3 linked regions of the Rattus norvegicus genome follow. The protein of the gene in region 3 interacts with the protein of the main gene of each other region in a pairwise test. Links are inferred from orthologs where the notes say so. Each region holds a gene or a part of one and is shown on either strand. Other genes may lie near its edges. The genes, in order: Tcea2, Sh3gl1 and Gpkow.

What was found.
Region 1: the proteins of Gpkow (region 3) and Tcea2 interact in binary tests that used the Homo sapiens proteins (3 or more experiments, as listed by UniProt). The two-hybrid records come from large-scale screens. The link is inferred for Rattus norvegicus from reciprocal best matches to the Homo sapiens genes GPKOW and TCEA2.
Region 2: the proteins of Gpkow (region 3) and Sh3gl1 interact in binary tests that used the Homo sapiens proteins (3 or more experiments, as listed by UniProt). The two-hybrid records come from large-scale screens. The link is inferred for Rattus norvegicus from reciprocal best matches to the Homo sapiens genes GPKOW and SH3GL1.

The regions. Positions count from the first base shown.
Region 1 is NC_086021.1:189,179,367-189,182,170, forward strand, and holds the end of Tcea2 (transcription elongation factor A protein 2), read left to right. Parts: coding exon 1-26; intron 27-296; coding exon 297-353; intron 354-709; coding exon 710-864; intron 865-939; coding exon 940-1,086; intron 1,087-1,772; coding exon 1,773-1,844; intron 1,845-2,085; coding exon 2,086-2,094; 3' UTR 2,095-2,266; downstream 2,267-2,804. UniProt on the Homo sapiens protein: Necessary for efficient RNA polymerase II transcription elongation past template-encoded arresting sites.
Region 2 is NC_086027.1:936,463-939,955, reverse strand, and holds part of Sh3gl1 (endophilin-A2), read left to right. Parts: intron 1-2,701; coding exon 2,702-2,770; intron 2,771-2,883; coding exon 2,884-2,956; intron 2,957-3,448; coding exon 3,449-3,493. UniProt on the Homo sapiens protein: Implicated in endocytosis. May recruit other proteins to membranes with high curvature.
Region 3 is NC_086039.1:17,475,357-17,479,604, forward strand, and holds the start of Gpkow (G-patch domain and KOW motifs-containing protein), read right to left. Parts: upstream 2,943-4,248; 5' UTR 2,848-2,942; coding exon 2,678-2,847; intron 1,559-2,677; coding exon 1,401-1,558; intron 1,298-1,400; coding exon 1,173-1,297; intron 1-1,172. UniProt on the Homo sapiens protein: RNA-binding protein involved in pre-mRNA splicing. As a component of the minor spliceosome, involved in the splicing of U12-type introns in pre-mRNAs.

The sequences.
Region 1 (2,804 bases), on a different chromosome or scaffold from region 3:
GCTGACTTTGGCCCTGCAAACTGACCGTGAGTACTACAAGGTCTGGATTTCGACTCTGTAGGTGGCCTGGGCCTCTGTCTGCTTCAGAGCTTGCTGCTGGAGAGACAGCTCTTCTCTTTAGCTCGCTGTGACCTAGCAGAGAGGCTAAGGTTTTTGAGGTCACCATAACATCTGTATGGTGGGAAATGTCTCCCTGGAATGCAAGTGTCCCGTTTAGCTTCTAGGGCTCTGTGCAAGCAGAGGGGTGGCAGTTGGAAAAAGATGGTGGGGGAAACAAGCGAGGCTCCCTCTTACAGACGACCACGTGGCTGTTGGTGTGAGCTGTGAGCATCTGTCATCTCAGATCGAGGAGTATATCCTTTGTGTAGGGTAAATGGTTAAGGGCTTCTGAGAGAGTCTATCGTCCACTGAGTTGTGCTTCTCTGGTAGCTATTGGACACAACTGGTAGGCTACCCAGTGCCCTTTCTGGGTGGTCCCTTGACCTTTTCTGGGCCATAAATGGGTAAGGGGCTATGACTACTTAGTAGATTTATCTGGGTCTCAAATAGGAGTGGGCCTAGAGAAGGCAGAACACTATAGACCCTTGGGTCCCCCACAGGTCTTGAGTGGGTAGACTCCTCTCCATGAGCCTGGGAAGAACATTTCCCATATGACTACCAGGAGGGGGAGGAGCTCAGAAACCTCAGATGGGTCCTTAAATACCTGCACGCATCTTCCTGGATGTGGGAAACACTGACATGAAGTACAAGAACCGTGTTCGGAGCCGAATCTCTAACCTGAAAGATGCCAAGAACCCTGGCCTACGCCGGAATGTGTTGTGTGGTGCCATTACACCCCAGCAGATAGCTGTGATGACATCAGAGGTAAGCTCTCCTGGAAGGGCTGGGGCCGGCTGTCTCTACAGAGCTGTGGGCTGCATACGTCACCTTTTTTATCAGGAGATGGCCAGTGACGAGCTGAAGGAGATCCGCAAGGCTATGACCAAGGAGGCCATCCGAGAGCACCAGATGGCCCGTACAGGTGGCACACAGACCGACCTGTTCACCTGCAACAAGTGCAGGAAGAAGAACTGCACCTACACGCAGGTCGGGGCCTACACCATCCTCCATCCTCCTGTCTAGGGGCCGCAGGGTGCACTCCTCCTCCTCTTGGGTATCACCTGTGTCCCTGCTTTTGGCCTGAGGCTCTATGCCAGGGCTCGGTGGCTTGCCCATGCCTATCACGGAGGGATGGGATAGGAGTAGAACATGCTGTTTGTCAGTAGCTGTGGGACCTTGAGGTCCTACTATGGAGGTGGAAGCTGAGGTACTCTAGGAAGGCTATGTGGTTTCCATGGGACATTGGGAGCTTGGGAAGAGGGGACTAAACTAAGATGGTCTCTCTGGTAGAAGCTCTAGGGCTTATGGGAACTTCCATCATCTGCAATAGGCTGCAGAGGGCTGGACCTGAGGGGCAGAGCAGCTCAGTCCCCACAGCTCAGGCCCTGTGGGATGTTTGCTGTTGAGTCCCCAAGGCATCTCTGATCCTTTTACTTTCTAGACCCTCCTGTTGGGAATCCTGCACTTAACCAATATTCTAGACTCAACTGAGCACAGTTGTTCAGGGCCACAAAGGCCTGTCATGACAACCTACCTCCTCCAGAGGTCTAGTTCTAGAAGGTTGGGGTAGTTCACTGGGAAGTTTCAAATCATCAATAGAGATCAGCGGGTATAAGACCAGTACTGCCCAGATCCGGGCAGCAAAACCAGGGATTCAGCCACCCACCCTACAGGTGCAGACCCGTAGCTCTGATGAGCCCATGACCACCTATGTTGTCTGCAATGAGTGTGGGAATCGATGGAAGGTAGGTGTTTGCCTCCAGTCCTGTCTCAATGCATATTGGGCCTGAAGTAGGAACTGCGGGGGTGGGGTGGGAGGTGAGATGGGGTGGGAGTGGGGGTGGGGAGGAGGCAGGCTGGGAGTCTCCTCCTGGCTAGGAGTCCTGGGGACTCCTAGCTGCCTGGGAGTCTGGGATGGAGCCTAACCCACTTCTACCCAGGGGGTCATGTGGGGCCTTGGCTAGACATTTTCCTGCCTTCCTGCAGTTCTGCTGAGTCCTTGTACTGATGTAGCCCTGGCCATGGCTAACCCTGAACCTCCTGCAACGCTCTTGGTGGACACAGCTTCTCTGGAGATACCCTGCAGGTGGCATGCCCCGTTCCAGCCTGCCTGGTGTGCACCTGCCTGCCCTTTGCCCCTCATCATTAAATGTTTCTTTTTTGCCTTCCTCTGGCCTTGCTCCTAATGGGCTAAACACAGGCTTCAGCTGGGTCCTATCCGTCCACCGCTGTAGATCTTTCCTCTCTGGGCTCCGACAACACTTGAGCTAAGCTGTGGTAGGGCAACACTATAGACAAGAGCTTGTCTAATGTTGGAGACATTCCTTGTTTGTATGATTCTAGGATATTGCTAATGCTTGTATGTGCACCACCATGCTGGCTGTGTGGGCTGGTGCAGGAACTTGCCCAGTGCTCACCCGTTCTCACTAGGTATGGCAGCCTGAGGACCTGGTATCCTTTCAGGATGTTTTACTTTGTCCTTCACTCCCCTTACCCATGGTGGAGGATGGTCTCTGAGCTGAAGTTAATTCTAGCTTCAAACTGCTGAAACTTCCAGCAACTTGGAAGAACAAAGTAGCGAGTGTGTTGCTTTATTGGACCGGTAAGATTAAGATGCTGTGCCTAGCTTCTTTGGAAAGACCATACCATCCGCTTTGTCCCCACCAGCCTCTGGAAAGGCATTTCATCAAGTACACAAGGGTTTT
Region 2 (3,493 bases), on a different chromosome or scaffold from region 3:
TGCCCTGTGTTCTCCAGGCTGACATGGGCTCTCTGTGGATAGTCCCAGAGTCCTGTGGATAGTAGGTCTGTCATGGTGCTGGCACTGGTAAATTGGAGCAGGTGAGCCTTTGACCCCCACCTGTGTCAACTTGCCCCCAAACTAGTCTGAGTCCCTGTTTTGAAGGCTGTGCTGAGGAGCAGCAACAGAAGGATCTGGAAGCTTCAGTGTATGAGGCATAGTTGCTGCGTCCACTGGACATCATGTCCATCCATAGACAGTTGTCATGTTCAGTTACACATAGTGGGGTCCCACTTTGACCCTCTGGATGACTGTAACTGAATGTAGCAGGGAGCCACTGGGCACTCTCCCTCCCCTTCTGTGATATGATCTTTGTTGCTCAGATTGAACCCTCCCACCCCCCATGGCTACCAAGTCACAATCATGGGATGTGATTGTTTAAGGGTGGCTGTCCATCAGCAGCCCCCATGGACCCGCCAAAAACCCCACTCTTCCTAACTTCTCTGTCACACATCCAGTTACCTGCCTCATGGCTCCTCTATCCTGTGCAGCCATGATGGTCTGTATCATGCTCTGAAAGACACTGTTTCTGCTTAGTTTGGCAACATGGGGCAAGGGCCCTACCCAGTAGCACCCTAGTCTCTATGATCCCGTTGGGTGGCTAGTCTCCCCATTGTGTCCTTTCTACTCCCATCCCAGGTACCTGGTTTACAGTAACATTGTTAACGGAGACCATATTAGGCAGACCCAATATGAGTAGCCAAGCTACTGGCTTCCTGTGCTCTAAGGGGTCAAATCTGTAGTAACAGGCTGGCCAGAGAAGTGGGAGCAATCTTGGTGCACATTGCTTTGGGCTTGTCCCCTAGAGTTCCCAGCACAATCCTGCTAGGGCAGTGATGCCCACATATCCACCAGCCCTGCCAGGTTAGCTGAGCACTACTCAGTTTGTACTCCAGAGTGACTGCAGCAAGGCAGCTCTTGGGAGGGATGGTGACCTCTGCAGGGCTGGCAGCTCTCTGCCAAGAACCTAGGTCTTTGCATGCCACCATGCAACCCTGTTGTGCTGTGGAGGCTGATGACTCCCCACAGACTTGTAAACAGGCTGTACCTTGCCTTCTGGCTCTGGAGTGAGGGTGTCTTGTCTCCTAGTTTTCTCCTGTGCCGATACCTGCCCCCGAGCTGTGGAGGGATGTGATTTTGCAAACGGCTCAGAGTACGAGGTTGCAGCTTGCTCATGGCATATTCAGTGATGTGTGGCCCCAGTGGAGCTCTTGGGCCTTGGGGAGGCTGGGTCTCCAGATCACAGGGCACAAGAGATAGGACCATTAAGAAAGCCGCTAGGTGTGCTCTGGGCTCCCCTCTTCCTGCCTTGCTGCCCTTCTTAAGATACCATGCCCCAGGCCCAGTTGCTGTCCCCGGAAGCTGTGGCCCTGCCTTACTTCTCTGCATTTACCATAAGAGCTAGGCCTTGTGGTGGGTGACATCCTGCCTCTGCTCAGCCTAGAGAAGCGAAACTGTTTGTGAAAGCTGGTGGGGTTCCCTGGGAATACCCATACACCTGGTGGGGCCTGTCCTGGGCCTCTCCATGAGTATGAAGATCTAAGACAGGCTCTGGGGACCCTCATGGGTAACCCTGTCTAGTGGACAGGGCAAGCCAGAGACTATGGCAGCCTTCAGATCACTGTGGGTAGCTACCCAAGCACAGGGTTGGGAGGTCACTCCCCTGCTTCTACAGCCACCCCACCCACTTCCTGATATCTTTGGTCATTTCCTCCCAGAGTACAAAGTCGTTACTGTTCCTGCCTGTGACATGGGTACCATACAGCCCTTGCAAAACCCTTGTAACAGCTCAGAGTCAGGAGCACCAAGGTCATGGCACCTGAAAATCCACACTGGTACCTTATCTCAGGAGTCCAGCCTGCTACTGTGCATGTGTGGCTTCCATGCCTTTAGCCTCTGAGCAAAGGCACCCTAGAAATACCCCCATACTGGGCCCCCTGTCTCTATAGCTAGTAGTAGACCTGTCATATCTCATGCGAGGGTGACCTGGGCAGTGGCTACCTTGCTTGTGTGTCCTAGGGGCTTGGGTATGATGAGTGAGGATGATTGTGGTGGGCAGATTGGGGTCTTGTGCCCCAGAGGGGTGACACATATTGTTTGGCATTCAGATAGTAACACAGCCACTCAGGACTCTCTGCCAGGTCCAGCAGGGTCAGGGCCCAGCTGTGTCTACTCTGCTCCAGGCTCTCAAGTCTAGGCTCCTGATTGCAAAGTGTGCTTTGTGAGGTCAAGTTCTGACTTCCTTGAGAGGGGGGGGAGGGTCCATCCTTATCAGCTGTCAATGTCAAAGTGGCAGGCACCAAGGACTCAGGTACACAAGAGCTTCCTGAAGCCTGCAGTATCCACAAGGCTTGAGCTGCCATGGGGTCTGTGCTCTGCCTTTGCCAAAGTAACAGGGTCAGCCAAGAACTGGGAAAGATGGAAGTCTCCATGGGGCATGGGCCTGGGACCTCAGAGGCAGTGCGCAATGCTAGCTGGGTCACAGCACACCCCAGCACTGTTGGCTTCTCTAGGGCTCACCCAGATACCCCATCTGCCCGCCTTTCCTGGAGTTCACATCCTTGACAGATACAGTTGCCCTCCACAAGCCAGCAGGAATTCCTCCTGTGCCCTCACATGCCTTCCTCCTTGTACCCAACAGCTGGTCAGCGAGAAAGTTGGTGGGGCCGAAGGGACCAAACTGGATGATGACTTCAGAGAGATGGAAAAGGTAGGATTCCACACTGGACTGTGGTGGGGGCTACTCCTGCTGGAGGACAGAAGAGCCTATATCCAGCTCCACCTCCACCTCTAATGGCTCCAACACTGTGGCTCTCTCCACAGAAAGTGGATATCACCAGTAAGGCCGTGGCAGAGGTGCTGGTCAGAACCATAGAATATCTGCAACCTAACCCAGGTAGGTAGGGCCTGGGCCTCTGGTTAGAGGGGTAGGAAGGGGAATACTGGGTCTGATTCCTCAGACTTCCCTTGGAACTGAAGTGATAATGACCTACTCTTGATGGCCTCTACACACACAAGGATTCCCTCTGCTGACTTGCAGAGCCAGTGTGCAGTGGAACCAGGTCTTCCCAGGCAAGGGTGACAGGGCACTCACTGAAGATTGAGAAAGTTAGACCACGTTCAAGAACCCAGACCACAGTGCTGTGATCATTTTGGCCTCTGCAGATGACAGATAGGCCTTCTTGCCAAGGCCTGGAGGAAGGGATGTATTGGAATTGTTCCCCTCCTCTGTGAACTGCCAAGTCCTTGGGAGTATACCCAGAGACAGCCTGGTGCCTGGCCCACTGGCCAGTTGGGGATATGAGGGCCCTGGTCTGGTGTACGCCTCAGTACAGTATAGTGTGGAGAGGAGCCTGTGAACCCACCTAGGCCATCTGTCCTCTTACAGCCTCGAGGGCCAAGCTGACTATGCTGAATACTGTATCCAAGATCC
Region 3 (4,248 bases):
TGTAGGCATGAAGACCAGAAGTTTAAGGTCATTTTTGGCAACAGAGTGAATTCAAGGCCAGTTTAGACTACATAGAACTGTCTCAAAAAGAAGAAAGCCAAGCACATCAGAAGACTGAGACTAGCTGAAAGAGAGGGTGTATCACAAACATTTTATGAATAAAAGCTAAAACACTAGCCAGGCCCATTTAATTACAGCATTCAGAAGGCAGAGTGAGGTGGATCTCTGTGACTTCGAGGCCAGCCTGGTCTACATAAGTGAGTTCAGGACAGCCAGAGGAGCTCTGTTACACAAAGAAACCCTATGTCGAAAAGAAAAAAGAAAAAAAAAAAAAAGCTAAAACATTAAGAAGCTGAGCTCAAACTTTATTTCTACAAACACATTTTCCATCTCATCTGTTGTCATTTCTTCATTCCTTTATCATTACTCGGCACACTGCAAGATGCCTCAGAACTGATTTCCCACAAGGGTGGGTTTCTTGGGTTGTTGCTGCCATTCGGAGTCCCCAGTCTGATCATTCTTCTCTCACTAAATGTTAACTACCCTTCCAGTTCTCACTCCAGTCACTTCTATGTGTGTGTATCCTTACGACCTCTATTCTGGATTAGTCTACTCCCTTCCTGCCCTACCTTCACTTCCTAGTCATTTTTGGTCAGGGCAGACAAAGGGGACCCTGTTCTAACCCTGTCTGCTCAAGACTTCCCCTTAGCTCTCACTCCACTCATAGTAAAAGACAAAAGTCTGCTCTGTGGGTCAGAATGCCCTTTCTAATCTGGCCCCCTCTGCCTTCATCTACTGCCCACTCCCTCCCCATTCATTCCAATCCAGTAATAGGTTTCCTTAGTGCTCCTCAAACACTGCAGGCTAAAATCAGAACAAAGAAAAAAGAAAGAGGAAACAGACAAATGTGGTTCCAAACAGTGTACACCCTCATGGCATTTGTATTTCCTGTCCACTTTGTTGTCTACCTCATTCAGATAATCCCAGCATTCACGTACATTTTTAAACACCCTGCTTTCTGTTTTGTTAATGCTTCTAATAAGGGTGGAAGGAGGAAAGGCTAATTGGCAGGGCTTTGGGACATGCACACACACTTTCCCTGCTATGTGCAAGGAGACTAGGCAGACAGGGTAGAAGGAATAGTGTAGGAGGGAGGCAAAGGGACAGCTCACTGTCTCAGCCTGAGGTTCGCTGTATGTTCCTTCCCCAATGGGAGTACATCCTTTCTGGATCATGGGGATAGTGAGCGTGGGGTCAACACCTGCATTCTCCCTCTCCTCCAGAGACTTCTTGGATTCTAAGGAAGAATGGGAGGGATCAATGAGGCCATACCCTATCCTTCCAACTTCTTCCCCTTCTATCTGCACTAGGGCAGAGCAAAGAGGAAGGTTTTCACTCACCCTCAATGAGTTCCTTCACAGCCTGGGACAACACACCATCTGACGTCAACACGGTGCTTGTTTCTGAGGGCTTAGGGTTCTTGGACAGCAGTTGCCTGCGAGAGCCATTCTGGATCAATGGGATAACCAGCTCCTTTGGAGCTTCTGGAGGGTTCACACTGATGTGGATAGAGAAAAAGGGTTGTAGACATATTAGAAAGTAGAAATATCAGCCGGGTAGTGGTAATGCATGCCTTTAATCCCAGCAGCACTCAGGAGGCAGAAGCAGGAGGATCCCTGAGTTCAAGGCCAGCCTGGTCTACATGGAGAGACCCTGTCTTGACACCCCCTCTAAATAAAGTAAAAATATCAAGAAACAAAGAAAATAAACAATGGCCAGAAAGAAACAAACAAACAAAATAAATATCAATGCCTAGCCCTATGGACCATGTTCCACAGGTTACTATTAAAGGTCCACTCATCTTTTTTGAGACATCTCACGATGCATCCCATGCTGGTCTTATAAACTCTCAGTCAACCTGGTACAACTTCCTAGTGCTGGAAATACAACCAATACAAATGTATCATTTCTCTCCGGGGTCCCAGCTTTAAATGTGTCTTGTGCAAATCATTCTTAGGCCTTAAAGCATAATGACCTACAACTCACCACCTTTAGTCTAGCTTCTTAGTTCCAGGCCCATAAACTGCCGTTTAGAAGTCCCCCACTTAGGCCTCTAGGATCTTCCTTTCTTAATTATACTGATGATGGCCTCCCAAAACTTGACTTTGCCTCATTCTTCAAATCGGAGAAGCACCCACCATTTCAGTTGAGACAGGAAGAATCCTGTCATTCTCCCTCCTTTCCCTTTCTTAAAAGGCACACGACTTTTTCTCTGAGGAATTTATATCTCTGATTCTCAAGCCCCATTTCATCCACATAACAAACCTCCCTCTTCTTGCCCTTATTTTAGTAATTTCTTTGTTTTTTTTTTTTTTTAATATAGGCTCTCAAATTGCCCAGGTTGGCGTTCAATTCTTGATCCTCCTGCGCCAGCCTCCCAGGTCTTGACTTACAGGCATTTGCCGCCACTCCTGGTTACCTCCATAAATTTCCCGAAGCTGTTTCAGGCTTTCCAGGCCACTGTCACCAGCATAAATTTCTCTTACTCTGCCCTCCCGCTTAAGCCCATTTCACCGATTTCTAAAACGTGAAAAGACCCGGCGTTTCACCTTACTCTGCCCTCCCGCTTAAGCCCATTTCACCGATTTCTAAGACGTGAAAAGACCCGGCGTTTCACCTCTGCAGCTCCCTCCCTTCCACAGTCGCCAAGAAATCTTTCTTCTCTGGGGCCTGTCCTTCGCTGTCTCCGAGGTCTGCCAGTCGCCTCCGGACAGATGTGCGAGTGAAACCGAAAGAAATCGGAGCTGTGGACGCGGCAGCCGGTGGCGGACTCTCACGGCCCGCCATCTTGGCTCGAGTCCCAGGCGAGCGCTCTGCCTGCTGGGAAGTTTAACTCTAGTACCTTAAGGGCCGCCCAGGAACGCCAGAATCTATCCCAGAATGCAACGCCTCAAGAACAGGTGCCTTGAAGCCGTGGGAAACAGGAATTAGAGCTTGGGAACTCTTTAAACGTCATAGTAAGGTGCCGTACTAAGCATTCCGGGAAATGTAGTTCTTAGTGGTGTAGTCGCGGTGGAAGATTGATTAGGTTATTCCTGGGTATTAAACCGTTAGGAATTCAGTTCTACCCTCTTCCGACATGTACGCACACGATGTACATACAGGCAAAATATTTATATATACAAAACAAAATAAATAAATCTTGTATTTGACAAGCACATAATTTAATGTGCTTTTCCACAATGTGAATCTTACTGATGTAGAAAGTGTCAATAAGGTGAAAAACCAGGATTGTACCTGGGATGTGGTTCAGTTTGCAGTGCTAATAATTTAACTTAGGGCCTCGTCTAGGGAAGCACTGTACCATTAATCTGTATTCCTTTAATTTCTTTTTTTCTCTCCCATTCCCCAGTTTCTTATGCTTTCTTGTAAAGTGCCTTTGTTACACATAATCTCTATGTTGCACTTTTCTAACCCTTTTGAGCTTTTGGATGAGGCAGTGTCTTCTGGTTTTTGGCATGAAGAGCCAGGACCTTCTGGGTTGAAGCCTCTTTGCTTGACTCAGTTGCTTTTTTCCCCCAGCCAGAGCAGCACAACTGTTCATACTTAGCCCCCATATTTTTTGACCAAGATAACATTACAGATTTTCCATAACAGTGTTATAAATTATCCAAAACAGGAGATGAACATTTGTATAATGTTGCTTCTTTTTAATCACTGAGCCACACCCCTATCCCTGGGTGCGATTCTGTTAATTAAGCATTTTTTCCTTCTAGGATCCAGTTTTGATATCTCATACACTGCAATATAATTGTATGCCTCCTTTGTCTTCTGTAGTCTTTAGTGCTAGTTTTTTAGTCTTTGTCTTTACTGATTTTTCTTTTTTTTCTTTTTTTTTTTTTTTCGGAGCTGGGGACCGAACCCAGGGCCTTGCGCTTGCTAGGCAAGCGCTCTACCACTGAGCTAAATCCCCAACCCCGTCTTTACTGATTTTTAAAAATATAGCTCAGTTATTTTGAAGAACATAACGCCAATAAAGCTTGTTGTGTTAACTTTTCGCTATTAGTCTGAGGTTATAAGTTTGGGACAAGAATTTCAGAGGCAGGGCTAGAGAGATGGCTCAGCAGGGGAGGAAGGGGCCTATTGTACTTTTTCCCCATCAGTGATGGTTTGACGAGTTGCTTTGTTTACGAGGACAACAGCTGTTAGCATTTACTCTAAACTCTGTCCCACAGTTACTTGGCAACA